Macaca mulatta: one gene and its partners. The protein of the gene in region 5 interacts with the protein of the main gene of each other region in a pairwise test. Links are inferred from orthologs where the notes say so. Each region holds a gene or a part of one and is shown on either strand. Other genes may lie near its edges.

Evidence for each region.
Region 1: the proteins of MBIP (region 5) and PPFIA1 interact in binary tests that used the Homo sapiens proteins (3 or more experiments, as listed by UniProt). The two-hybrid records come from large-scale screens. The link is inferred for Macaca mulatta from reciprocal best matches to the Homo sapiens genes MBIP and PPFIA1.
Region 2: the proteins of MBIP (region 5) and EPB41L3 interact in a two-hybrid assay, tested with the Homo sapiens proteins (2 studies listed by BioGRID). The two-hybrid records come from large-scale screens. The link is inferred for Macaca mulatta from reciprocal best matches to the Homo sapiens genes MBIP and EPB41L3.
Region 3: the proteins of MBIP (region 5) and BFSP2 interact in binary tests that used the Homo sapiens proteins (3 or more experiments, as listed by UniProt). The two-hybrid records come from large-scale screens. The link is inferred for Macaca mulatta from reciprocal best matches to the Homo sapiens genes MBIP and BFSP2.
Region 4: the proteins of MBIP (region 5) and NDEL1 interact in binary tests that used the Homo sapiens proteins (3 or more experiments, as listed by UniProt). The two-hybrid records come from large-scale screens. The link is inferred for Macaca mulatta from reciprocal best matches to the Homo sapiens genes MBIP and NDEL1.
Region 6: the proteins of MBIP (region 5) and RAP1GDS1 interact in binary tests that used the Homo sapiens proteins (3 or more experiments, as listed by UniProt). The two-hybrid records come from large-scale screens. The link is inferred for Macaca mulatta from reciprocal best matches to the Homo sapiens genes MBIP and RAP1GDS1.
Region 7: the proteins of MBIP (region 5) and MCM7 interact in binary tests that used the Homo sapiens proteins (3 or more experiments, as listed by UniProt). The two-hybrid records come from large-scale screens. The link is inferred for Macaca mulatta from reciprocal best matches to the Homo sapiens genes MBIP and MCM7.

Annotation. Positions count from the first base shown.
Region 1 is NC_133419.1:4,394,551-4,398,670, forward strand, and holds the start of PPFIA1 (liprin-alpha-1), read right to left. Parts: upstream 2,801-4,120; 5' UTR 2,616-2,800; exon of another isoform or gene 2,607-2,615; intron 1,352-2,606; coding exon 1,088-1,351; intron 355-1,087; exon of another isoform or gene 1-354. UniProt on the Homo sapiens protein: May regulate the disassembly of focal adhesions. May localize receptor-like tyrosine phosphatases type 2A at specific sites on the plasma membrane, possibly regulating their interaction with the extracellular environment and their association with substrates.
Region 2 is NC_133423.1:76,749,355-76,753,625, reverse strand, and holds the start of EPB41L3 (band 4.1-like protein 3), read left to right. Parts: upstream 1-1,471; 5' UTR 1,472-1,758; intron 1,759-4,271. UniProt on the Homo sapiens protein: Tumor suppressor that inhibits cell proliferation and promotes apoptosis. Modulates the activity of protein arginine N-methyltransferases, including PRMT3 and PRMT5.
Region 3 is NC_133407.1:36,465,753-36,469,980, reverse strand, and holds the start of BFSP2 (phakinin), read right to left. Parts: upstream 2,801-4,228; 5' UTR 2,773-2,800; coding exon 2,284-2,772; intron 1-2,283.
Region 4 is NC_133421.1:9,963,356-9,966,855, reverse strand, and holds part of NDEL1 (nuclear distribution protein nudE-like 1), read right to left. Parts: intron 3,091-3,500; coding exon 2,939-3,090; intron 1-2,938. UniProt on the Homo sapiens protein: Required for organization of the cellular microtubule array and microtubule anchoring at the centrosome. May regulate microtubule organization at least in part by targeting the microtubule severing protein KATNA1 to the centrosome.
Region 5 is NC_133412.1:109,439,165-109,443,150, forward strand, and holds the start of MBIP (MAP3K12-binding inhibitory protein 1), read right to left. Parts: upstream 2,801-3,986; 5' UTR 2,658-2,800; coding exon 2,529-2,657; intron 1-2,528. UniProt on the Homo sapiens protein: Inhibits the MAP3K12 activity to induce the activation of the JNK/SAPK pathway. Component of the ATAC complex, a complex with histone acetyltransferase activity on histones H3 and H4.
Region 6 is NC_133410.1:107,709,248-107,712,747, reverse strand, and holds part of RAP1GDS1 (rap1 GTPase-GDP dissociation stimulator 1), read right to left. Parts: intron 3,124-3,500; coding exon 2,980-3,123; intron 2,507-2,979; coding exon 2,375-2,506; intron 1,232-2,374; coding exon 1,097-1,231; intron 1-1,096. UniProt on the Homo sapiens protein: Acts as a GEF (guanine nucleotide exchange factor) for the Rho family of small GTP-binding proteins (G proteins) that stimulates the dissociation of GDP to enable subsequent binding of GTP.
Region 7 is NC_133408.1:47,403,609-47,406,821, forward strand, and holds part of MCM7 (DNA replication licensing factor MCM7), read right to left. Parts: coding exon 3,211-3,213; intron 2,898-3,210; coding exon 2,760-2,897; intron 2,480-2,759; coding exon 2,330-2,479; intron 2,146-2,329; coding exon 2,031-2,145; intron 1,946-2,030; coding exon 1,814-1,945; intron 1,584-1,813; coding exon 1,500-1,583; intron 699-1,499; coding exon 305-698; intron 7-304; coding exon 1-6. UniProt on the Homo sapiens protein: Acts as a component of the MCM2-7 complex (MCM complex) which is the replicative helicase essential for 'once per cell cycle' DNA replication initiation and elongation in eukaryotic cells.

The DNA of each region.
Region 1 (4,120 bases), on a different chromosome or scaffold from region 5:
CTACCTGAATGCACCCCAAAGGCACTTAGGATGAGTAACATGGGGCCTAGACAGCTCTGAAACACCTAAGTAACCCACTTCTCTCCCACTATGCTCCGTGACACTCACCTGACACTTTTCTAGTTTTTACACTTTCTCCCTTTACCTACCATTAAGCAAATCCTCATTCAACTCCATGAGCAAAGTCTTTCAAACACTGGTCCAAATGTAATATACTCAGAGAAATAATTTCAGTTGTTCTAAGCTTTAAATTTTTTTTTTTTTTTTTTTGAGACAGTGGTGCAATCTTGGCTCCTCTGCAACCTCTGCCTCCCTGTCTCAAGTGATTCTTATGCCTCAGCCTCTGAGTAGCTGGGACTACAGGTGTGTGTTACCACGCTCCACTAATTTTTGTATTTTTGGTAGAGACAGGGTTTTGCCATGTTGGCCAGGCTGGTCTCAAACTCCTGACCTCAGGTGATCCGCCTGCCTTAGCCTCCCAAAGTGCTGGGATTACAGGCATGAGCCAACACACCCGGCCTAAGCTTTAAAATTCTCGTCTACCAAGGAAGAAGTTCCTAAGGAATCAATCTCCAGTCTTCTATCCCCTAAAACAAATGTGACTTACAAAACCTAGATGTTCTGATAAAGGTGGGCTATCAAAACAGTATTTTTTTTCTGTGAAATCCTATTTGTCTACTAAATTATATTAGGAAATTAGAAACACATGAGACACAATCCATGGGAAGCACAAGTTTAGCAAGAGAAGGTTGAAGACAACAGAACGGAGGCACCACATAGATTGGTTGCTTCAGAGCCCTTTTTCAGAAACTCTGGAGAACTTCCTGAACCTAGGCAGTTCCCAAAGATAGGAATGAAAATAATGAGGTATTTTCACATGACTTTAGAGTACAACAATTTGTTCTCCCTAAGAAGTTTAATCCCTAGGAACTTTGTATTTGACTTAGAAACACCAGAAACCATCATTTCACAAATGGTTATGGAAAATACTCATCTGAAACATTAACAAAAGATGACACCAATTAAAAAAAAAAAAAACATTTAGTGGAGAATAATCTACAGAGTCTCAAGTTAAAAGCACTCATACCTGTGGAAGTGCCGTGTTGAGCTGTCTCTGCAAGGAATCTCTTTCATGACCAACCTCATGTAACTTCCCCTGGGTTAAGGCCAGTGTTTCTTGAGTCTCCCTCAGTGTGTCAAGAAGGCGGTCCCTTTCTTCCAACATGGAGACCATCAACTGTTCAAAATGTGAATCTGCGTCTGGCTGCGAAGGGGAGCCGGAACCATGGCTTCCACCTCCTCCAGGGGGGCCTTCTGCTTCGCTGATGGTCGGCATCACCTCGCACATCATCTTGAAATGAAAGAGCCAGGCTACAGTCATCAAGTGCAGAATACAGGTTCCCACAAATATGCAACTTTACAGGTATCTGTAGCTAAAAAGAGGGGCAGCCTCATTATCCTCAGATCTGTTACGCTTTGTGTGTAAATAAGCTGGGAAAACATATACCGGGCAAATATTAAGTGCAGAAATACACAACATGAAGACATTAACACAGACAAAAATCCAGGGAAGGGGTCAAGATACCAGAGGACTACCCTCACAAAAAAGGGCAAACCCTGGGGTAGTCTGTTTGCAAAGCTGTACTTGTTTTTGTCGAAAACAAGTGTGCTTCTGTTACCTAATTTTTTTTTACTTCCCAGTGGGGGGTGGGGGGGGGAGAAGAAAGTCAAAACACATGTCACCCAATCATTTTTCAGGAAAAGCACAGAAGGAGCATACAGCCAGCAAAACTGACAAGTACAAAATCCATCAGGCATCTTGCAGGAATGTGTGCAGTCAGCTCCTGTGAAGAACTGACGGCTCCCTGAATTCTTGAGCTGGAGCTGGTGAGCACTAAAAGGAACTGGATTCGTTAAACGCTGGCAGAAGTGTTTTTTTTCAATGGCTGCAACGGTTGATCAGTCAACCTAACTTACGTAAGTTTACAACCGAAAAAAAAAAAACTCACAATGGAAATATAGCAGGTCGATATACAGCCGGAGGCGGCTAGGAAAGAGGGAAAAGTGAAAGGTGAGATGATGAGAGGCATTAAGTGTCTGGGATATAAAGACAGCGCGAGGGGATGGGGAAGTCGCTTCTGAGTCTTTCGGGCAGTATTCGGGGCGCGATGGACCCCTGAGAGAGGATGGCCCAGGCGGCGCACCTGATGGGGATGACCTCCAGCCTGCTCGAACCGTACTCCTTCCCCTCCTGTATCAGGTGCGGCGGGAGCCCCGGACCCCGGAGGTGAGGACCGTTGACAACGGAGCCCGCTCGGGCCGGGGCTTTCAGCGGCCGCAGTTCCCCGCCCCTCGCCCCAGCGCCCAGGTCACGGGGCGCAGGGCTCGGGGAGGGGCGGCGCGCAGTCCCCGGAGCCATCCCTCGGGGCGCTGGGGTCCCGCCAGAGCTCTCCCAGCGCGACCCGGCGCCGCGGCCTCGCCCCCACCCGCCCCGGAGCGCACCCTTCCTCGCGAACACATCCAACCGGCTGCGTGGCCGCCGCGGAGACCGGGACCAGCCGGTGACGCCTGGGCCCCGAGCCTGCCTCAGTGTCCCGCTCCCTTACCTTGCTCACCGGCGGGAGCGGGCGAGGAGGCTCCGCGGCGGCTCGCGGGCGGCTGCTCGCTCCGGGCGAGCTTGGGAGCCGACGAAGGCAGCCCGCGGCCGGCGTCCGCCTGCCCGCCCCACGCCGCGGCCCCGGGGCCCGCCGCCCCAGTCACTAAGGCCGGCCCGCGGCCGGACACTGGCGGAGCGGAGGAGGAGCGGGCCCGGCTGCGCGGCGCCGGCGTCGACGTGCCCGACGTCGAGCGCGTCGGCGCGAGCGTCAGCACCGCCCCGGGGGCGGGGCCCGAGGAGGACCGCGGCCCGAGTGCGCAAGCGCTGTCGCCTCAGGAGGGGGCGGGCGGCTGCTCCGGGGAACTGATTGGCTGAGCGAGACGGGAGCCACGCCCCCAGGCCCCGCCCGGGTCGGTGGGGGGTCTCCGGGATGAGCCACAGGTGGGCGCTCAGGTGCTCGCCGGGTCAGCGTCTTCCTCCGGGCATCCCTAGTCTCCTCCCACTGCTGCGGGGACGCCGGCGGCCTTTGCCGAGTATGTGCCGCGCCTCGGGTTCTGAGGCGGACGCGTCCCGCACGTCAGGTCCCTCCCGAGCTGGAGGCGCTGGATTCGCACCTTGTGAGGAAGAGCGAGCCGAGGCTTCAGCCACTGCCGCGGGCCCAGACCCCGCCCGCCGCGTCGCTCCCAGGGTCTCCCCGGGCCTGATCGGGGTTCAGCAGGACGCGGTTCCCGCCAGGACCCACTTACGGAGCGCAGCCTGCTGCACCTGGGGACGCTCCGGCGCAGCGTCCAGCGTGCAGGCTTTGCCGCTGTGGCTTTCACTCTGCAGCGTGGGCCCGGGCGATTCGGGAAGCCCGCCTGGGCTTCAGCGCCTCCGATGTAGGATGGGAAAATGATGCAGACCTACCTGCGAGGCTGCTTTAAGATATGAATCAGATGTGGAGTGACTAGTTGAGAACCTGACGGGCGGCCCTACAGAAGTCTTGGTCATTTCATTCTTTCCGCAAGTTTTGTTTTGTTTTGTTTTCCCAGACGTTGTTTCACTCTCGTCGCCCGGGCTGGAGTGCAATGGCGCCATCTCGGCTCACTGCAACCTCTGCCTCCGGGTTCAAGTGAGTCTCCTGCCTCAGCCTCCCGAGTAGCTGGGATTACAGGCGCACGCCACCTAGTCCAGCTAATTTTGTATTTTTAGTAGAGACGGGGTTTCTCCATATTGGTCAGGCTGGTCTTGAACTCCCGACCTCACGTGGTCTGCCCGCCTCGGCTTCCCAAAGTGCTGGGATTACAGGCGTGAGCCACTGCGCCCGGCCTCAGCAAGCATTTTTAAACACCTACTGTGGGCCAAGTCTTGTGCTAGATGTTGTATTTACGGAGATGAATAGAGACACCTCTAATTAATGAAAGAGGATGCTCTCCCCACTCCTCCCAGGGTTTGACTTGGCGCAAAAACTCTTCACAAACCAGAATGACAGGACACCATCGCCAGTGTCCACTGGCCACCGTTGTTGGTGTGAGGCAGCCAGGA
Region 2 (4,271 bases), on a different chromosome or scaffold from region 5:
GAATGCTTTGCCACTAGACTGCTGTCTTCAGGAGTTTCAAGAGCAAAGGTGAGAACTAGTTTGCTTCTTTTGAGAGTGGCCAGAGTAAGCACTTGGCTGCAGGGAAAAAAGTTTGCTTTTAATTTCCAAAGTGGACCCAAGATGATAGGGTCTCATGGAACAAAATCTTTGCTTTGATGCAAGGAACCAGTGCTATGCAGCAGTCTTCCAAGTTACTTACCAACAGTTGAAAGGGTGTGGCTTCTTGACTGGTGCCAAGTGTTTCCAATATGCCCTTGTGTAGCGCCACCTCTGACTTCCTATAGAAAGCCTCTTTCCTCTGCCTCAGCCTGCTGAGGATTCCACAAAACACAGCTAGATGTGAGCTGCATGTGCACACTCCAGTCTCATTTAACAGTGCAACACCTGCACTCTCAAAACCTAGACATTTCCCTAATGGGCTATAAAATGTGCTATTTGGGCAGTTAATTTCAAAATGTTATTAAACTAATAGGCACTTGGCAATGTACCTCTTTCACATAGATACACCCAAGAGTCAGACGTTTCTGGTTGATTGGATGGCTTTCCAGACTTGTGATTGTCATATTTTATAGCTTTTCCTCCTCCAGAACGCTTTACGAAATCCGTTTTCCAGAAAGCACGCCTCCAGGAGCTACTAGGAGGCAGAGTGAGTGAAGACTGGCCTGAGTGCCCAGGGATAGACTGTGCAGTGAACTCTTGTCCAGGTCTTTGGGGTAGAGGTGGAAGGAAAAGAAAGATAATGTTCCCTTTGTTTACTTAGAAGGTCCAAGAGTTGTAGAAAGCACAGGTCTCGTTTTTAGTGTGCACGGGCATATATTCTCATGGCCTGGACTCACAGGCCACAGAATCAAGCAAACACGCATGTGACATACTGAGCCTTCAGGCCTGGAAACCCCGTGGGCACCAGTGGGGATGGCTTTGCAGGCGCTGGAACTGCGGGATCCGCCGCTGCAGGGGTGCAGGCTGGGTGAGAAAAGGGTGCAAGCTGGGTCTACACTGCTCTTCATATTTTGGCGCTTCATGTGAAGTTGGATGATGCTTAAATGAAACAGCCCCCAAGCCACTTTCTGGCCTACATCCCCAGACCGCCGCTGTGAAGTTAACTCTTTTCAGAGATTGCAAAAATTTAATACCAGCAAAAGAAACCAAGTTACCAGGTCCCCTTAAGGCACACGAAAGGACATTTATCATAGCCTCTCCTTTCCCTCCAGTCCCTAGCTACACAAAATTGTGTGTGTGTGTGTGTGTGTGTGTGTAATTCTTTCCCTGCTTGCAGAGACCGCTGGCTATAAAGCCCAGGGAGGCCTGTAAGGAGACCCACACTTTGCGAGCGCGCGGCTCGAGGGCGGGCTCAGGGCGGGGCAGAGCGCCGGGACCGCCCGGGCGCCGGGCGCAGCCAACGAGAGGACCGGGAGGGCGGGCCGGCGAGGGCTGAGCGGCGCGGGCTGTCACAGGCGCCCGAAGCGCGCTGCAGGTGGCAACTTGGAGGTGCCGCCACCGCAGCTGCGGGAGGAGCCCGGGTCTGGCGGCTCCTTCCAGCCTCCAGGAGCTCTTTCCCGCCGCCGAGCCCGAGATTGGACCTCGGAGAATTCGCAAGAAAGAGCCCCTGCGGAGGGACCTGTGAGCAGCCCTACCTCACTCTGCCCTTGCGCTACTTTTTTCCTCCAAGGAAGGTTGTGCCCGCGGGCTGCCAACAAGCTCCGGGAGGGGCCCCAAAGGAAGGCTTCGGTGACCCAGGTGAGCGCCTTTCCCTTCCAGTGCCCCATCCTTCTTGGCAGTCGGGCGTAGGCCGGGAGCGCCGCCTAGCCCCGTGGGTAGGGGCGCGGGTGCGGGCCGCCTGCCCTTGGCTCGAGGTCGACGGGGGAGAAAGCAAGGAAGGGGCGAGGCTGGCCCGACCGGGGGCTGCCGGGCCGGGTCCGCCCGGAAGCGGCAGGGACTCTCGGACCGGCACCTGGAGACTAGGGACGAGCAGAGAGGTGCTTTGAGGCGGACAGAGGGCTTGCGCCCGGTTTAAGCTGGCCGGGATCTACCGCCTGCGCTCTGTGCTGGAGCCGCCGTGGGAGCCGAGCGCGGCGCCTCTGCGAACCCCAGAGCTAGTGCGCGGGGCCCGGCGAGCGCACCAGTCTTCGGTCCCTCGGAGCCCAAGGCCCTGGAGGACGTCATTCCTCTCCGCTCGGGCAACTCCTCCTCCGCCCCGTCTTGCCTCCACCCCTCCGCGCCCGCCGTTTAGCCTATTCGGAGACTCCGTGCTTTTTGCCAGCGCGCGCAGTGGTTGCTGCTGTCACTCCCCTCCCCGCCCTCGCAGGAGTTGGAGCGACCTGGGGTCTGGGTCCCCGGCCCCCGCCGCCTAGTTGTGGGCTGGACGCGAGTGGGGCTGGCCAGTTCTTTGCGAGGAGGGCAGGAGTGAGCGCGGGCTCTCTCTCTAGTGCTCCTTCCGAATCCGTCCCCGCCCGCCCCTGCAGCTCGAACCGCTAGCCCAGAGAGCGGAGTGTCAGAAGCCAGATCTTGTTAGCTCTGGGGAAACTAGGAAGCCTGGGAAGGTGCGAACCTCGCCGATGAGGCCAGAGCCTCCGCCCCCATCTCAGTGTTTCTGCCCCTGCTTTCCTGCTTTCAAGTGGACAGTGGCTTTGACCTCCGCATTCCTGCTTGTGGCGTGGGGGCGCTAGCGGCAGTGTGTGTGTGTGCGGTTTGTAAGGATGAGCGAATGCGATCCTCCGGGAGGCAGAGGCGCAGGAGCCCGTTCCCCCAGCCCGGCAGAGCCGCAGGGACCGCCACCCCTCGCCGCCAGCGGCGCGCAGCTGCAACTCCGCGCTGCCGGTTTCTCTCCTCCCGCTCCAGCTCCCAGTCCCCCCCCACCAACGCGGCATCCCAGGATTAAAATCATCTGGCCAAAGGGTGCGGGTGGGGGATCGAGGTGCTCCCGAGGCGAATGAGGCTGTTTCTCAAAATCCTGGGAGCGCCCCTCGCCCGGCGCTGCATCTTCCGGTGGCTGGGCTGTAAGGACCGGCGGTGGAGGCTTGGCGGAGGCGGGCCCGCGCTCCAGAGAGGCCGTCATGTCACCCGAGAAGCCGACGCTGGGGGCTGCTGAACCTCCGAACTCCCTTTGACGCGTCCTGCTCGGAGCCGGGGAGCTCCTGGCTGGCCGGGGGAGCGCCGCGCGGGAGGTGCGGTGGCCTGGCCAGTGCTGCGGGAGGGCGCCCCGGGCGCGTCGGGGGCTGCGTGGGGGGGCTGGAGAGCGCGCGGGGAGCTGCGGCGGGCTTGGGGCACCCGAGTGGCGCTGGAAGTTGAGCCGGGGTCCGCAGGGCTCGGTGACCGCCCTGGCGCCGCCGCTGCGGATTCGGGAACAGCGGCCACGCGGCGCGTTCGGCCGCCCCCTCGGCCCGCCCGCCGCGGCTTTCGCTTTCCTTCTGCAGAAGTGAAGCCGCCGCCTGGGCTCGCTCCGGCTGGCGACCTTTGCGCCAGAAAAGCCTGAGGTGCTGGAGGCGAAATCCTCCCGGGAGCGAAGGGCGGCGTCCACAAGACAAGGAAAGGGAAGACGCCGGGCTCCGGCGGGTAGCGCAGTCGCGGGAGGGCGGCGCTGAGCGCCAAGGATCCCCGAGGCGAGGCGGACCCAACCCAGCCGGGAGGTGCTGCCCTGGCCCTTGGCGCTCTCTCACAGGGAGCTGGTGGACCCCCCGCCCCTGCCAGTCCGTAACTCCCGTGTAATTCCCTCTGAAGTGCTAAGACTGGGCCGGGAGAGGGCTGGAAGCCACTAAATGAATGAAAGTAGAAACGGTGGTGAATCCCAAATCTAACTATGGTTTAAATCTAAATTCCACGTGATTAGAAACAGATTCTAACCCGGTAGAGCAGGGTCTATGTGGGAGCTCCTATATCGCATTCAAATAATGGCAGTTACTGAGGGACACCGCAAGACTTGCCCCTCCCAGGCTGTAATTGTGCTGCTTTGGGGAGTGGGGGTGGGGTGGGCTCCAGTGTGCCCGTATCATTACACATAATCTAGAACGAGGAAAGAGTGAAGTTCAGGTCGGTTCTGAAATGACCTTGGGAGTCTCCGTCTTCACTTTCCCTTACTTGCCTAGGCAGTTCCCAGTTGGATCAGTTACAGTTCAGACTTGTGACACCAAGGGGTCAAAGAGCCTCCCTTGTAACATTAGATAATAGTCTTCTTAGAATGTGTGGTAACCGTAGGAAAACATTCTCAGTACTGAGGAGCAGAGGTATAAAACCGAAAGTTTGCAACTAGGCTA
Region 3 (4,228 bases), on a different chromosome or scaffold from region 5:
CCAGCCTGGTCAACATGGTGCAACCCCATCTCCATTAAACGTACACAAAAATTAGCTGGGCATGGTGGCATGCGCCTGTAATCCCAGCTACTTGGGAGGCTGAGGCAGGAGAATCGCTTGAACCTGGGAGGTGGAGGTTACAGTGAGTCAAGATCACACCACAGCACTCCAGCCTGGGTGACAGAACGAGACTCCATCTCAAAAAAAAAAAAAAAAAAGAAAAGAAAAAAAAAGAAATAATAACTCCATTTTATCAATTGGTCTAATTTCAAGGCCATGAATTTTTTAAAAAAGAAGAAAAAGAGAACTTTATTAATACCCAGGACCTCATTTACAATCACTGAAGAGGAAAGTGAGCCCATGTGGGACCCTGGCCCTCAGCTACAGAGGTCGCATGTCTTGGTGTGTGGCTGCGGCGCTCACAGGATTTTAGAGCTTCCTAGTCTGTACTCTACCTGTAGGCAGGAGCCAGTCATCTTATTTGTCTGTGGATTTGCAGGAATATCTAAGCATTATTATACCCATTTTGTAGATAATGAAACTGAGGCCCAGAGAAGTCAGTACGTTGCAAGGGCTCTTGTAGCTATCTGGAGCCAGAGCAAGTCGGTATCTATTGAGTATAAACTAAGTTTTGTGGCCCTACTTTTTAACCTAGCCATTGGGACACCTGATTTCTCCTGACAAGTCTGTGTGGCATCTGAGTGCAAGCGATTGTCCAGCAGATGCTGACATATTGGAGTATCTAGGGATGTTCTGGTGGTTGTTATGGCACAATATTTGGACAGTTGTGAAGAATCCTGGAGGAATGGCTGCCTCTTAGATTTGACAGGCATTAAGACCCTGGACTATTCTAAGATGGCTCTCCCTCGCAGCCCGGATGGATGCAAGCAGAACAGCAGCACCAGGGGGAGAGCCTGAGAGGATGGTGCTGCTCATCATGCACTCTGTGCTGTCAGTGGGCACTGAGAGCAGTGCAGGAGAAGCATCCTGGGACGAAATGGGAGGCAGGAAGGGCAAATGGGGAGTCCCTGTGTGCACCTGCTTAGCATCCCCCGGCTACACACAAATAAAATTTTGTGACTTCCTCTTGGGAGGCTGCATACTGGACTCCAGGGGGCCAAGGGTCTGAGTTGGCAGTCCCTGGTGGGTTAGAGACTGATTTTGCTCAGAGTGATCCCAAGACCAGCGTCTGGAGAGAAAGAGGAGGAGAGAAGCCAACCATCCACAGAGAGACCAGCTGAGAGGTGCAATGCTGGCTGGAGTCCCAGCATTAGAACTACAGGCTGCAGGCCAGACATGATGGATGAGCTCCAGACTCTGCAGAAATCACCCTGGAGAGTGGGAAACGCAGGGCTGACCAAGCAAGGGAGAAAGATGAAACCTCTGCATCCTTCCCTGTCCAATAAGATGGCCATTAGCTACCCATGGCTGTTTACATTTAAATTAATGAAAATTAGATAAAACAAAAACGCAATTCCTCAGTCTCATTAACCACATTTCAAGTGCTTGATAGCTATATCTGGCTAGTGGCTGCCAGATTGGACAGTGTAGATATAAGATATTAATATTTCCATCATGCAGAAAGTTCTACTTGAATGTAAATTATCTCATTCATATATTTTGTATTGATTACATGTTGAAATAACATTCTGGACATATAGAGTTAAGTAAGCTATACTATTAACTTTACCTGCTTCTTTTTACTTGTTTTACTGTGGGTAATAGAAACTTGTTGATTACCAATGTACCTCACATTTCTGTTGAACAGGGTGATTATAGGTGGATACAGGAACACACCTCCATTTATTCATTGTTCTTAATACCACATCCATCCAATGGTATTTGACTGGATAATAACTGTAAAAATCCCTTCTCAACAGTAAAGGTGACTGAGGCAGCTCAGGGTAATGGGGCACATGCAACTTTGAAGGCACAAAAATTCAGATTCAAATCTCATCTTCATCCCTCTACTAGCTTTGAAGTCTTGGGAAAATTACATGCCTCAGTTTCTCATCTCAAAAGTGCAATCAATGAATGATCCGCTGCATAGCATGTCTTCGAATTGTAAAGAAGACAGTGGATAGTGCACGTATGGGGGCTAGCGTGGGCTCCTGGTAAACCTTGGTAAAAAGGAGCATTGTTGTTATCATGAACATTTTAAGTGTGAAAGTGTAGGGCATTATGGTCAGTTTCTCTGGCCTCAGCCTACTCACAACCTTACTCCTGCCCTCAGCAGCCCCTCCCAGCCCTCTGCAAAGCCCTTGGCACAGCCTGGACACTTACCTGCTGGCAGCTGCTGGCCCAGGAAGCCCGTAGGGCACCCCAATTTCCCGAGCGCGTGGCCTTGCTCTCCAGGTGCATCCGCAGTTGTGTTTCCAGCTCCTGACTGACTTGTTCAAGGGCATGCACTTTGGCCATATATTCCACCAGGCAGCCCCCTAGGTCCTCAACAGCACCATGGTCCCTCTCCAAACCTGGAGCCGGCACTGTGGCCAGGCCTGAGCTCCGCAGGCCCTGAAGGAAGACACTGCTGATGCCGAGGGCCCGGCGGGTCACACGGGCACCCAGGCCACCTATGCACCCACTGGGTGCTGTTCCTACATAGACCCCAGGTGCTCGGACAAGGCCACTCATGGCATTGGTCCTGGAGGCTGGGGGGCTATCCAGGGAGGATGATGACCGTGGCCCCCTGAAAGATGCCCTGCGCCTCTGGAGGGGCATGCTGGAGCTGGCACTGGGGGGCAGGTCCACTACTACTCGCCTCTCGCTCATCACCCCTTCTGCCTCTGTGGCGCCCAGTGGGTTTACAGAGTCCAGTGGCTTTTGGTTTACAGCCCCAGCATCCCTGTGGCCTGGTCACGGGCCTCTCTGGAATCTCCCCTATCCCCGGGGCTGCTTTGTCTGCTGTCTTCCATGAGTTTCCATCATTCACTGAGCTGAAAGAGAAGAGGGCACTGCCCAGGGCTGTGTGCAGAGAGGCACTCATGCATTCTTTGATGCAGGGTCATGTGCCCAACCTCCCAGATTATTCTGCTGGTGGTGGGGGAGGCTGGATCAGTGCAGGCTGTGGGGGTAGACCATTTGGGTTTGTACATTTTACTACCTAAGAGTGGGCAAGGCAGGCATCAGGCAACCCCATTTTACAGACGAGTAAACTGAGGCTCAAGGACCTCAGATCACAAGTGTGGTGATCACTTGCCCCAGACCTCAAATTACAAGCTAGGACTCAATCTAGCTATTTTGGGGCTTTCTACATCCCTATGTGTACTGGCACATGTGAATGTGAACACATGTCCACACAGGCAATGGAAGATGAAAAGTGTCAGGAGGCAGCTCCAGGGACCCAAGAGAAAAGACTTGCCTACGGTTTCCTCTCTCAGTCCTGACAGCAGCTTCAGGTCCTTGCCTCGCCTCTCTCCTTTCCTCCTCAGCTCTGTCCTCTAATGCTCTGCTGTTCATCAGCTGCTTGCTGTTGGCCAGGATGCTTCCTCCCTCTGGACCTCACTGTTTGAACATTGGCATGAGCCTCCAACTCTCTGATGCACCAGATAAGGACCTTGGGTAGATTCAGGTCCCACACATTATGTTCCAGCCATTCCCTACACCTCTGCTTCTCCATCTGTTGGAAAACTGAGAAAAACAACAAAGACGGTGTTTTCCGGTAAGCTCTCCAAGGGTGCCCCAAGTTAGGATATGATGACACCCCTGGGTTTTAATTACTGACCTTGGCATCCACTAAACCATCAAGGGTCACACCTCAATCCATTCTCTAGGGTCAGAAAGGTTCCTCCAGTTCCAGGATGACAACATGGACCTAAAAACCGCTGTACATAAGTTTTACCCTGGAGAAACCAGGTCACCAAACCCCAGAGCTGGATATTTTTCCAAATGCTGTAATGTAGGAATGTACCTCAGGTGAGAGAAGGAGAAGGGAGCCAACCTCTAGTGAATACCTGATCCAGCCTGGTGTGTGGATGAATCGTATAGTTTATTTCATGGAATTCTCAACTCAGCCTCAGGAGGAAGGAGGTCCAGGGTTGACAGGTACTGCCATATGGGCTGTGAACCTCACAGTTCCAAAAGTACCATATCATATGTTCTACAGTTGGCCACTATCCTCTTACGTGAGGAGGACCCTGAGAACTGCAATGACTTGCCCAAGGTCCCGTGTCCAGAAAGTAGCAGAGCTGGGAGCAGACACCCTCTTCCAACCTCTGGGCCAGTGACT
Region 4 (3,500 bases), on a different chromosome or scaffold from region 5:
CACACACGGACACGCGCACACACGGACACCCGCACACACGGACACGCGCACACACGGACACGCGCACACACGGACACGCGCACACACGGACACGCGCACACACGGACACCCGCACACACGGACACGCGCACACACGGACACCCGCACACACGGACACGCGCACACACGGACACCCGCACACACGGACACGCGCACACACGGACACCCGCACACACGGACACCCACACACACGGACACGCACACACACGGACACGCACACACACGGACACCCACACAAACCTACTTTGATGACATCTCTCCCCCAAACAACCCTGCCACAGGTTTCTAGCGGCACTAGTGACCTATCGCCACGGTGCTAGACACCTCAGGAGTGACAGGGAGGGAGGGCAGGTTCTACAGTGGACTCAGGAGTGAGAGGGAGGGAGGGCAGGTTCTGCAGTGGAGGCCTTTTCCAATGGGGCGCTCTTCTCCTGCTGAAACGACAAGCCATGCTTCTACACTTCTATACAGACAGGCTTTTGTGTTCTTTAACCTGCCAGAGTGTGTCATGGACCTAGGAACTACGATAGCCTGCCCTTCCTTTTGCAGGCGGTACACAACATCTTGGTGTTTATCTGGTCAACAGGTCGGCAGGAAGAAAGGCCAGAGGTAAAAAGCCAGGCAGGCCAGAAGCCAGAATCGAAGCAAAGCGGCCAGAAAGTGAAAACACAGCAAAACCCACAAAAGAGTTCTCCTCAGGAATACAGCAACTAGAAAGAAAACACCAGCACCAGTAGGTTCCTATTCCAGTGTGCATACACAATCTACTTATCACATAAGCTAAACACTCACACGATAGCCACTTCACAAAAGCGTTTTTCTTAATGGAAAAGGCACAATGTAAAATGTCTATCATTTAAAACCAACACTAAGTATCCGCAACTGTTCTGATTGGGAAGCACAGCCACTCCGGGTTCAGCTCAAGAAGTAAAGCCTACAATTGCATCTCGGATGCTCTCAAGGGACAGGGGTGCAGCCAGTGTGCCCAAGGCCCGTTCCTGGCTTCAGCTCACCCTGAGGTCCCCACATCTCTTGGCAATCCCTGCCCAGGTGCTCTGCCTTGGGAGGCAAGTGGCAGGCAGGAGTAGCGACCCTGAACAGACAGTGTCATCCTTCCCTCCTCGTGACTGTTCTTAAGGGCTTCCACATGCACAGGCACCTGTCCAACCTATCCATTTATGGTTCATGCCTGCTCTCATGTAAGGCACCTGAGGCCCATCAAGAAATATGACTCCAAGGAGAGACTAATAACTACTCTAGTAGAGGGTCATTATAAGTTGTAGGGAAAAATAATTAGGCACTGTTTCCAACATTTATGAAGACTACCCTAAACATTCTCCATATCATTTAGGGGAAATGGCTACTTTCATGTAAAACCGTCCAGTCATTCCATTTACCATTCCAGTATAAAAACAAGGGCTGCCTCAAGTCTGCCTGAAACTCCTAAGCCTGAGGAAAATCAATTTTATATTTACTCCACCCGAGGAAACCCAATGGTTAGAATAAGGTTCTGATTTCAGCTGGGCGCGGTGGCAATCCCAGCACTCTGGGAGGCTGAGGCAGGAGGATCACTTGAGCCCAGCAGTTTCAGACCAGCCTAGGCAACACAGTGAGACCGCATCTCTTCCAAAGAAAAAAAAAATTATTTAAAAAATTTGTTAAAAAAAGAATAAAGTTCTAATTTGTATAGTGAGGTTTCAGAATGTGTTTTTAATACAAAACCCTTAATGAAATGTATATACCTCAGGGTGAAATTCTCTTAAGGGACAGAGATCAACCAAAACATTCCACCACAAGGAGAAGAGCCTTTTCACAGTGCACTGTGTGTCAAATCTGCTCCTTTATAAATGGGCCACAATTATTGGGGATGGCAGAAAATGCCAGCTGCTTTAAGAAATCGTGAACATTTCTAGAGTTGTACCTGTTCTGCTTTCAGAGAAAAACAAGCAAGAATGACCTCTATGACTCAAAGCAGAGACAGTGGCAGGGGATCATGGGTGCCTGTTGGCTGCTTCAGTAACAACTACCTTAGGCAGCACCGTGAGCATCCCAGGCCACGGGTCCTAACAGTGACCCATATTAAGGCATACTTGTACAACCATGTATTACCATGCAGTATTTAAAAATAAGTAAATTGAGGTAGAATAATATACATGACATGGAAAGATAATGGCAATATAAGTCATGATAGGCACATTGCAAAGCAATATTTAAAGTAAAATCCCATAACTGTGTTACAAACAACTTAGAGCAGATGCATAAAAATAGGATTTGACATGCCTTGGAATAACTGTAAGGAACGCAGAAACAGTGTGAAGGCAGGAAACAATGACTTTTTAGTTCATATACTTCTATACCAACTGAAATTTTTTGCATTAAGGATGCTTCAGTCTTAAGACAATTTTATTTCAGTCTTCAAAACAGCCTTAACTTTATACAAAAGTTGTATCTCCTAAACTGTATTTGATCCAGTGCCTAAGTACTTCAGGGCTTTATATTTCTCCAAAATTCTCACAGGGGATGTCTGTTGTACAGTTTGCATATATTTAATTGTGATGCTCTCTTCTACCCCAAAAAAGTATTTGCAAGTCTGCCAGCCTGTAAGCACCTGGAGAACAGGGACCTTATCACAGTCGTTTTGACTCACCAGAGCCTCACACTGCTGCCTTTCAAGAGTCTGCTTCCCAGGACAGAAGCCTCAGATTCAGCGTTCCTGGGGCAACAGACTCCACGGGGACTAGAGGACAACAACAGACATCATGTCCCCTAAGATTAGAATGGTAACAGGCTGCAGGCAGGTTTGCCAAGCTGAGTTTACCTTTTCAAGGCTTCATTATGCTCACTTAATAATGTCACTTTACTACTCAAAAAATTATCACTTAAAACATTCAGGACTTACCCTTTGTCGAAGAAAGATGTATGCCCTGATCGAGAGAACTTTGTGCCATTGCCATTCAGCACCCCACAGTTAACATTCCCTGAAATATAGGATTTTCGTGATGCTTGGTCCTTTGCAAAATTCCTGCAAGCTGCTAATTTGGATTCTAAAGCCTACAAAAAAAAAGAAGGAATGATACGGTTGTCAAAACAGTAGCTGCACATAAAAATTTGCATTTCAAACCATTTCTATTTCAAGCCTCAAAACCTACTCATCTCAGTTGATAATGGTGGTTAGTTCAGCCATGATCAATCAACTTTCTAATAAAAAGGCAGAATACTTATGCTCCCTTTCTAATGAGCTCAGAATATTTTATTTTTTCCTCTTAGTGTTACTGAGGGAAATACACGTAATCTTCCCCTCACAAGTAAGAAGAGTGTGGCACGGGAGGTCGAACAGCAGACCCCAGGTCTCTTGTCCCATCCGTTGTTCGTTTCTAAATTGTAGACTGTTGGTTGGTGTTAGGAGCAGGGTGTGTTTGGGGAGCAAGCACTATTAAAAAACCCAAAAATATCACTTGAGA
Region 5 (3,986 bases):
GAAGATGAGAACAGAAGCATTTAGAAGTCCATATTAGACAAGCGTAAAGATACATGAAATTTCATGTAGGCTGCACTGGCAAAGATTATAATATGTTAAGATTTTACGTTAAAGTGAATGCATTCATTTACATTATTTTAATTCCTATAAAGATTTTGTTAGACAACAACCTGTATTATGTATGGAAGTAACCTATTATTGTACTTTCATAGTCTTCAAAGAGATCTACAGTTGATCACAGAAAACTTAAGAATACAGCTTGGGGATAAAGCAGGCAAATCCTCAACCAAAGCAAAGTATCACATTTTCTAGAGAAAATAACTTATAGAAAAATAAGTCTTAATGTTTCGTTCATAGTGTCATTTCAATTCAGCAGAATTACATAAGCTTCAAGTGCAATTAAGAATAACTGGTCTTTTAAGAAACTCACATAATAATGTCACAAATTAATTTAAAACTATTCTAATACACCTAACTATTCATTCAACAAATTCATTATTAGTAATATGAATTCTATGCATTTTGCCCTACAGAACTTGGAAGAGTAAACCATTCACTCGAAAATCTCTATTAGTCTGCTATTAATATAGACTATTTAAATAAATATTTTCAGTAAACACTTTACTAAATTAATACAAAAATCCAAGCTAAAAATAAGTAAGTGTTTAGCTTGGTAAGATGGACCATCCAGAGGCAAGCAAAAAGGTTAAAATTAGTAAATTTTGTGATCTTAAGTAAAAAATTCTTTTTAACATTCAGTTTTATGTTTCCTACTGAGATCTAATAATACAATGATACTTAGGGATGACACAGGATGAAGTTAGGCATGTTACAACATACCTTCTAGAAATCTTTTAAAGTGGTTGCAAAAGAAAATACTGATTTCTCTGGGGGCAATTTTGCAAGTGTGGAACTCTGGCTTTCACTCTTAATACTTCTCAAAATATAGAGTATTATGAAAACAGTTTGCATTTAACTGATGAAACAATCATATTTTTGACACCTGTATAGGAGGTCCCTTCACTGTGTCATGGTAAAGTAACCAAATATTTACTGTCAACATTTTTGACAGGTGACACAAATAAATTGTAATCGCTTCTTTACTTGTAGAGTACTTGAATGTTTAAAATTTTCTAATGAGTTTGAAAAATTCAGTATGCTAAATGTTTCAAAAGAAACGTTTAAATCATTGCTCAGTATTTTTAAAAAATATTCCATCTTCTGTTAATAGGTGAGCATAAACTTTTTTCATCTTGACATTAGAAAATAAACAAACTTAAGTTCCAACGTCGCCATAAAAAGTTCTCTAACTTTTAAACCATTTAAAAGGTCTTGGGTCTTAAGACTGGAATATATAACAAAACACCCCAAGCCTTTAAAAAACGATTTCGGTAAGCACTTGGCAAACAACTGAATTTAAAAGTTGTATCTTTAAGCAGACTCCATTAATAATTGCGTCATTACATAAAACCGTTTAACTTACAGTAATGTTCTTTGTAAGACACAACACACTATGATTTTTTAAAATAGTAACTTTTTAAAAAGCTGATTCTCCATCTACTCAAGGCTTTAAAAATAATTTTCACAAATCAGACAAATGTTCTATTTTCATAAGAATTTACCATTATCTTTGACACAAATGCCTGCCGTGTCCACATGCGCTAGTGCCAGCCTCAAAACAAACTTTTACGGCTAGAAAATGGTCTATGTAAGATAGAAAATATTTCCTTTTAAAAGGCAGGTAAACAAGCGTACTTTTAAATTGTTTCTCATTTAAAACTTGCTTTTAATTTTACACCGTGAAACGAAACAGTGACTTGATCGAAGAAGCCCACTAAATTCAAAACCAATTTTACTATGGCATTTCTGCAAAAGCGATTTATCAGTCAGTTAAACTAGTTAATAGTTAAATAACGACAGTTCTAAACGCAAACAGCATCAACGATGGATAACTCATCCAACTTTACGCTAGAAGTATTTTAAACGAATTCCTTTTACTTTCCTCCCCATTTGAAAGGGTTATAGATGCCCAAAACAGCCCCAAGGAAAAAAGAAATAAACAAAACCAAGTAACTCATAAGAACAAATTACTCCTTCCCCCCGGCCAAGAAAAAGCTAATAAGCGCGCGCTTTTCTATAAATCTCAGGCCTACTGACCAACCAATTCCCATAAAGAGTAAGTTGGAGGAAAAAGGACCCTGAGCGCTAGGCGCCTCCTAAATTCGCAGTGAAGCTTTTCCACATTCATTCTCCCCAAGCCTGCCTCTTTCGGAGCCGGGTTTTCACTTAGACCAACCTCACCCACTCTTGGAGAGGACAGCTGCAAGGTAAACTACTCGGCTACGGGTACCGCCGTCCTCCTCACTCCGAGCGAGGCGGCTGGGCCCGCGCTCCTCCCCGACCTCGGCTTCAGGGACGGCATCCCACACTTCAGCAGGCCTAGCTGCCCCCGGCCCCTGCTAGAAGAAAAGAATGGAGGGATGGGCCGGATGGCTTCCATATTCCCAGTCCCTCCGGCCACCTCTCACCTGTCCAACCAGGGTTTGTAGGGAGCGAAAGATTTCGTAGAGCACCTCTCGGGAGAGGCTAGGGCTGCATCTTCGCTCCAGGCTCCTGTCACCGCTGTTCGGGCGACTAAGCTCCGTGGCAGCAGCCATGATGCCTTTTCAGGCCGCCCCACCACCACCACCACCACCACCACCACCACCACCACCACCACCACCAACACCACCACCAACACCACCACCAACGTTTGCTCACAACCCCGCTCCCTCCCTTCCAGCTTTAGTCGCTTGGCGATGACGTACGACACGGCGTCTCGTTTAGATCAGGCTTTGAGGCCCCACCCTCTCTATGTGACTGACAAGCACGTTACACCAATCAGTTGCAACTGCGACATTACGCCGAGGCTCTGAAGTGGGAAATTGCAGACCAAAGCTAGGCTGGAAGGCTATATTTGAGGTGGTTATTAGCGTTGTGGTCTGTTTAGCGTTATGAAGCCTACCTTGACTCCCAGATGTTCACTGTGAATCTTGGTAAGAGGAGACATAGTTAAATTTTGTAGTTTGAGTCCCCAAATTAAAAGTTGACATTTTAACATGGCGGTGTGGAGTGGTTCTGGAGGAAGCTTGCTGGTCAGGGATGGAGTGGTGCCCGCAAGTGTTTCTAAACACTGGAAAACTCACACGGAATTGTCATGGTTGGATAGAACATTTTCATCTCTTCAAGTTTTAAGTTGTTGTTTTGGAGGCAGAGTCTCACTCTGTCGCCCAGACTGGAGTGCAGTTGCGCCATCTCAGCTCACTGCAACCTCCGCCTCCCAGTTTCAACCTGCCTCAACCTCCTGAGTAACTGAAACTACAGTTGATATTCTCCATTATAACTGTAGAGACTCTTAACCCTAAAATTGTTTCAAAGAAATGAAACACTGTCAATATAATCCAACAGGAATTTAACCTGGATAAATAATATGCAACCACAATCTTTGAAATTAGGACATAAAACCGAATTGAAATTTTACAAAGTATTATTTATCATAATAGCTTTATTATAAAGATGTTCGTGGGGTTTTGTAATCTTTTAGTCAGACTCCAATATTTTTAAAAAGTGTTATCCAATTTTAAAAAGTATTACAAGAATTTTTAGTGTCAAATTTTATTCAAAAACACTTTAAGAAATAAACATCAGCTGAGAGATAAGGAAGGTGGGATTTAAAACTCTTCATTCTGTTAATAGTCTAATGCATTTACAGTAGAGAAAGCAAAGGTGGAAACTTGCACAATGTGTATTCTTTAGTTTTAGGGTAGACTACATTAAAGGGAAGGACTAACGCATCGAGGAACTAGGATAAGGACGATGGAGATAAAAGAACTCCTTTGACCTGTCCCTAGGGAGTCTCTTAATTAGGCTTTCATTTCCAAAGACAAATGGGATCACCAGGCTTGACAGAATCTTGGAAAATCTTTTCTGTTCCCTTGTTGGCAGCA
Region 6 (3,500 bases), on a different chromosome or scaffold from region 5:
TTTTTTGTCAATTTTAAGAATGGAATTCAGTTGTTTATGTGTGTGTCTGTATCCTATTTGTGTATAAGCGGGTAACAGACAATATCATAATTTTTATGACAATATCATGGCTTTTTAAACCCAATCCGAAACATTTACTTACACAGTTACCCTCTTACAACAATAAAGCACAATTCTGTTTTTGATCCAACTGTGTTAATATAAATGTTATAGACATTAATAAATGTTACTATCCTATATAAACCAATTCAAATGGATTAGATCATCATGTAATTGTACTATTTCATCTAACCAAAAATTTATTTTTAGAAAGTAGAATAAAAGAATAGTTTTAACTATTTTTTGTTGTATTTTCCATAATAATGTGATTTCATGACTTCCAAAGGCACATTAAGGCTATTTTAAAATATTGTACGTCTGCTTATGGAAAAACACCACCAACAACTGAAAGTCATTCTTGAGGGGATTCTGTTAATTGATGTCATTATTCTACCTCAACTAAAGATACTTAAGGCCTGGTGCAGTAGCTCTCACCTGTAATCCCGGCACTTTGGGAGGCCAAGGTGGGCGGACTGCTTGAGCCCAGGAGTTCAAGACCAGTATAAGCAACATAGTGAGATCCTGTTTCTACAAAAAATAAAAAATCAGCTGGGCATGGTGGCACATGCCTGCAGTCCCTGTTACTCAGGAGGCTGAGATGGGAGGATAACTTGAGCCCAGAAGGTAGAGGCTGTGGTGAGCCAGGATTGCATCACTGCACTCTAGCCTGGCTGACAGAGTGAGACCCCCATCTCAAAAAAACAAAAACAAAAAACCGCAAAAAAGCTTAACTATACAACATGATGAAAATCGAAGAATTCACAAAAGGTAACAGGATATCTGAATGAAGGCAGAGATTATTCTTGTACAGTCTCACAAAACTTATTTAACATATGATCTCCATTTATTAGCATGAAAAAATGTAAACAATGTGAAGACTATTTTTTCTTTTTAATTTTCTTCATCAGAGCAGGTTCACAAATCACATACAGTAAATAGCTTCCCCAAATGATGGATTTTATTTTTTACATAGCTGCCTTCTATTCTTAAGTCTTACCTGGAATGGCCAGGTTTCTGAGGGCACTTAGTGCTGCATGCTGTACTGTTACATTTCCATCTTCTACATGTCTGTCCAGTAAATCCATAAGTTTTTCTACAATCCCATTGTCTACCATATGAATACAATTTCCATCTGAAAAAAAACCCACACATCTTTTTCTTCCTCTTTAAAATATCTATAAATATCTTATAATACTGATGTCTGGCTATTATCTACATTAGGGAAAATGGAGGTATACAATAAAATGAATTCCAAATCTTTCTCCCATCAGATTTATAGGTTTTTCTGTTCACTGAGTGAGAAGTATTATCAAAATTCTTAAACTAGATAAAATTTTAAAAATCAGAAAAATTACCAGAAAAATCTTCAGTTTAGAGCCAGATAATACATCAGAAGTAGAAACACATGGTTAGAATGTCCAATATTTTTCATTTATTGTGATGCTTGTGTTCTCCCAATGTTATAGTGATAGTACTCTACCTTTTGCTATCATGGCTGATACCTAAATTATTTTTCAAACATTTACAAAGCAGAGAGAATATTATAATGAACCACTATTTACTCCATATCTAGTTTCAATAATTATCCATATTATGGCACTCTTACCTCCATTATTAGGGAGTCACTCCCAAAAAGGAGGAGTAAAAATAGAGTAAGTCAGCCATTATAATATATACCAACAGTTCGTATTGGAAGATGATTAAACTAAAAAGAAAAATAAACTGTATTTCCTAGACATAGTATATTTCATGAGGAACATAAGAATGAGTTTCTAGACTGTATTTGAGTTTTTTAGTAGTGCCAGATTTCATAACATAGAAGTCTGGTGCCCCCTAAAATACTATTAAACTAAATTAAACATTCTACACAAAGCCAAGGGATTATTCATACTTAAGTTTTATGGGCATAAAAGTATAAGTTGAGGCACAATAATCCTAGAATGAATACTCAATAATTAGATCCAAAATAAAATCACTAGGCAAAAGAAAGCATGTGTATACTAGAATGGGATTCAAACTTACTAAGCTCTGAAGTGCCAAGTATTCAAAAGAAGCACTTCATGATCTTTAAACTATTAGAATTTAGTTGAATTGCATAAAATATGTAATTTGTTAGGAATGTCACTATAAGTATTTCAGATTTCTGAAAAGTTAGCAGCATTATACACATATTACAGAACTTCTAAACTGTTTCAGTTTCAGTATATGTGACGGCAAAGCAAAAATAAACAAATACAGAGTATTTGACTAACAAAGGAGGAACTAATATGCTTACCATTTCTGGCAAAATTTGCAATTGCCAATGCTCCAGCAAGCTGTAGCTGGTGGTTATTTGATGGAATCCAAGAAAGTACCCTTTGAAATACACTGCCTTTTCCTCCTTCAAATAACTTCTGCATGGATTCATCTGGAGGTAAATGAAACAAATAGTTAAGCAAGAGAAAACTAAGAGTAACAAATTCATATTCTTAGGTGAATATCCAACTGGGAAACTCATACTTCACAAACTATTACATTCATAATGGGAAAAGTAATGATTCTTTTTATAATAAACTTTTAATAGATACTAGACAATAGAGTTTAGCATTTTTCTAGTCCAAGTCCTAGGGAGCCATCTAGCTTTTCTTTAATCCCTTGGTGCCAAAGCTATCTCTTCTATGGGACAGCTCTTCAAACGTTGGAAGATGGTGAAGACACTTCTTTTTCGGGTTTGTTATGTCTGGTTCTATCAATGACATGTTTAAGACGTCAAAATCATCACCTCAACAGCAGGTGAGATAGGAATATGAGAAAATGCCTAGGGTAGTATTTACAGAAGAGACAATAAATTAAAAAAAATCTGAAAACAACATTCTTTGGCTGGCATAAATTACAGCTCACCTCCAAGAAGTAATAAAACCATGAGATCTGAACCAGTTTTGAGCTCAGTAATATCATCTTCTTTGTCACTATCCACTTTTTGCTGAACAATCTCTAGTAGACACTCTACCAGGCCTGCTTCAACCAGCTGTAGTTTAATAGCATCTAAAGAACAATGTGAACAAAATAATCAAACTTTGAGATAAAATAGGAGCTCTGGTATAAGAAATCCATTATAAAGAATTATAAGAAACTAAGAAAATGCATGATTTAGATAATACATTTTTGAAACTCAAATCTTCAAAGTAAACTATCTTGACAGTTCAGTTTAAACATACAAAAAACTTTATTTCATGTTTCCATTTGAAATTGTCACATTTTTCACAATGTCTTGCAGCATCTAAACAAATCGATACTCAGCTCTGAAGGCAACTAGTGTCACTCCACTATTACTCTAGATACTATGCTCATGTTTAAAGGGCAAGCCATAAAATACTACAAAATAGGGCTGTGCATGGTGGCTCACGCTTGTAATCCTAGTG
Region 7 (3,213 bases), on a different chromosome or scaffold from region 5:
GCCAACCTGGATAGAGGGGAGGCCAGGAGGAACATCCTTTTTAGGGCTACACACCCATGTCCTCTTAGGTGTCCCTCCCTTGACTCTGCCACTTCCTTACAGTATAGGAGGGACACGCTTTCCTGAAAATCCTCATCAGCATTTCAGCCCCAACCCACCATTTCCCCGAGAACCGTGGACCAGCCCCTGATGCAAGGGGGAGGCTCTGGGGTTTCCAGGAGCACAGTATTTGTTTTGATTCACCTCCCCTCCTCCCTATAGATCATTACAGGGGACCTCTCTTTGGGTGTTGAGCTCCATTCACCGTAGGTCATTGTCTCGGTCAGGCCGGTCCTGAATCAGCCAGAGGAGGTCAAACCGGGAGAGCAGCGCGGCAGGCAGCTGTATGTTCTGCTCCAGGCTGCGGCGGGGGTTGTAGCGCCCATAGGCAGGGTTGGCGGCAGCCAGGATGGAGCAGCGGGCATTGAGTGTAGTAAGGATGCCGGCCTTGGCAATGGAGATGGTCTGCTGCTCCATGACCTCGTGGATGGCTGTGCGGTCGGCCTCGGCCATTTTGTCAAACTCATCAATGCAGCACACGCCCTGGTCAGCCAGCACCAGAGCCCCACCCTCTAAAGTCAGTTCTCCACTCACGGAGTCTCTCAGCACAGCTGCCGTAAGCCCCACTCCCGAGGAGCCCCGGCCTGTTGTGTACTGGCCTGGAAGAAAAGAAATAAGGAACCATAAGAGAGAAAGAACAAGAAGGGGAACAAACAAAGGACAATAAATGGGCCAGGGAAGCAAGGCCTGTGCTGGGATCATTCCACTGCCTCCCCCAGGCCTTCTTGAGACGCCCGAGGATCTGTGGGGGGCTGGCAACGTTCCCCTTCCCCTCCCACCGGTTCTCTTCAGAGCACAACTGTGGCTCACTGACACCCTGGCTCCTGGGCTCAAGCCATCCTCCAGCCTCAGCCTCCCAAGTAGCTGAGACTATAGGCACTCACTACCACACCCAACTAATTTTTAAAACTTTTTAGTAGAGGCCAGGCGCAGTGGCTCACACCTGTAATCCCAGCACTTTGGTAGAGGCCAAGGCAGGCAGATCATGAGGTCAGGAGTTCGAGACCAGCCTGCCCAACATAGTAAAGCCCCATCTCTACTAAAAGTACAAAAATTAGCCAAGTGTGGTGGCACGTGTCTGTAGTCCCAGCTACTCAGGAGGCTGAGAAGGGAGAATCGCTTGAACCTGAGAGGCAGAGGTTGCAGTGAGCCGAAACCACGCCATTGCACTCCAGCCTGGGTGACTGAGACTCCGTCTCAAAAAAAGGAAACAAACAAACAAAAATACCCAAACAAACAAACTTTTTAGTAGACCAGCCTGGTCTCAAACGATCCTTCCGCCTCAGCCTCTCAGAGCATTGGGGTTACAAGTGTGAGCCACCATGCACCCCCATTTTTTGAATAAACACTGTGGCCCTATCTGTCACTATGTTCACCTCTCCCAAGGCCCAACTACTTACTGCGGGGGGCCAGCCGATCAATGTACGACAGGAGTTGAGACTTGGCCACACCAGGATCCCCCATCAGACAGATGTTGATGTTGCCTGGAGGAAGGGAAGGCAGCCCTGGAATGACTCTTCTCCCAATACTTAGACAACAACAGAGCAATTTTGAGTTCTGCCTCCCTCTAACACCCAGCATTACTTCTAAGCCCTCCCTGTGTCCATGAACGCAAGATGTCCACTCTTATACTCTGACCTACAGAGACACTTGTCATCCTTTTTCCCTCCTAAATGACTTCATCCCCCCGAGCCTCTCCCTTTTTCCTTCTTACCCCGGATCTTCATGCCTCGAGGAGACTGGTCCACACCCCCCACTAGCAGAAGCAGCAGTGCCTTCTTCACATCTTCGTGCCCATATATTTCTGGGGCGATTGAAGCTGCCAGCTTTTCGTAGAAATCCTCTTCTGTAGAGAAGTTAAGGTTGTATTTTTTGGGGGAAAAGGGGGCTAGGATGTAAATGGAATTTCCTCTATCTCCCCTGCCCCTCACCTGCAATCTGCCTCAGCTCCTCCCTGCTGAGCTCTCCAGCCCCAGACTCATCATCCTCACTCTTGTTCATCTTCACAATCCGATGGGCTTCCAGGTAGGTTTCTGAGAGTAAACCCTTGGGCAGGAAAATGCCAGGATACAGATGCAATCCCTTCAACTTGCCCATCACTGGATTCCCTAACGATTTCTTGACAAATCCCTGGGTTCTGTTTGGGGTTTTGCTGCCCACTTTTCTCTGTGCGAGTAGAATGAGTAGGTGAGGGAAAAGGGGACGATCCTCATGTCAAACTCTTCCTTACCTGTACCACCTGTCGGAACCCAGTGCGCAGGATTGGCAAGAAGATACCAGTGACGCTGACGTGGTCTCCAGGCTGGGCAATTCTCGTGTTCTCTCCTTCTACCAGCACCGTGATACTACGAGGGATGTTTCCCACGGGCACTTGATCACTCTAGGGGAGAGAAAGGCACATAAGGCCAGGAGAAATGGACGAGGACCCAACCTTCCCTCCCTAGGCATCCCACTCAAAGGCTCCCAGGCTGCCTAGTCACAGACAAGCCCACAGGAGGGCTACTGAGTTTCCCCTTCCCAAGGCTCTCAGAAATTCTAGTTCCACTTCCCTCCTGCACTTCCCTCTTTCGTTCTTCTTTTTTCCTGCCACTCCACAAGTGACTACAGGATTCAAGTGGACTCTCAATCCACCTGCCCAGGGCCACGTACCCCAAACTCACATGTTCTTGCATCTTCATCTCCTGGAATTTGATGAATTTGGAGCCCCGTGTCTGCAGATACAGCCGCCCTCCTGAGCGGTTGGTTTGGCACTCCTGGCTTGGGCACATGATCAGAGGCATGAAAGTTGGAGACTGGATCTAGGATGTGAGAACAGAAGCACCAAAAGGAAGTCAGAAGCAAAAGAGCCCCATTGGGTCGGTCGGTTCCTTGAATCACATTTTCTCTTCATGGCAGACATCTTGGAAGTGTCAAGAACCCTTTGAACTTAACTCTGGGTCAACAACAAACACCCAAGAAATAGGTAGAAAGACCATGACATACCCAACAATGAAAGGCAAACACACAGACAACTTTTACAAGCAAAGAAAATGATAGGCATCACAGGATCAAATTAATCTCTACAAAACGACTAATGGGTAAGGGCTTTCCTGCTCCTTGCTCCACACGTACCGG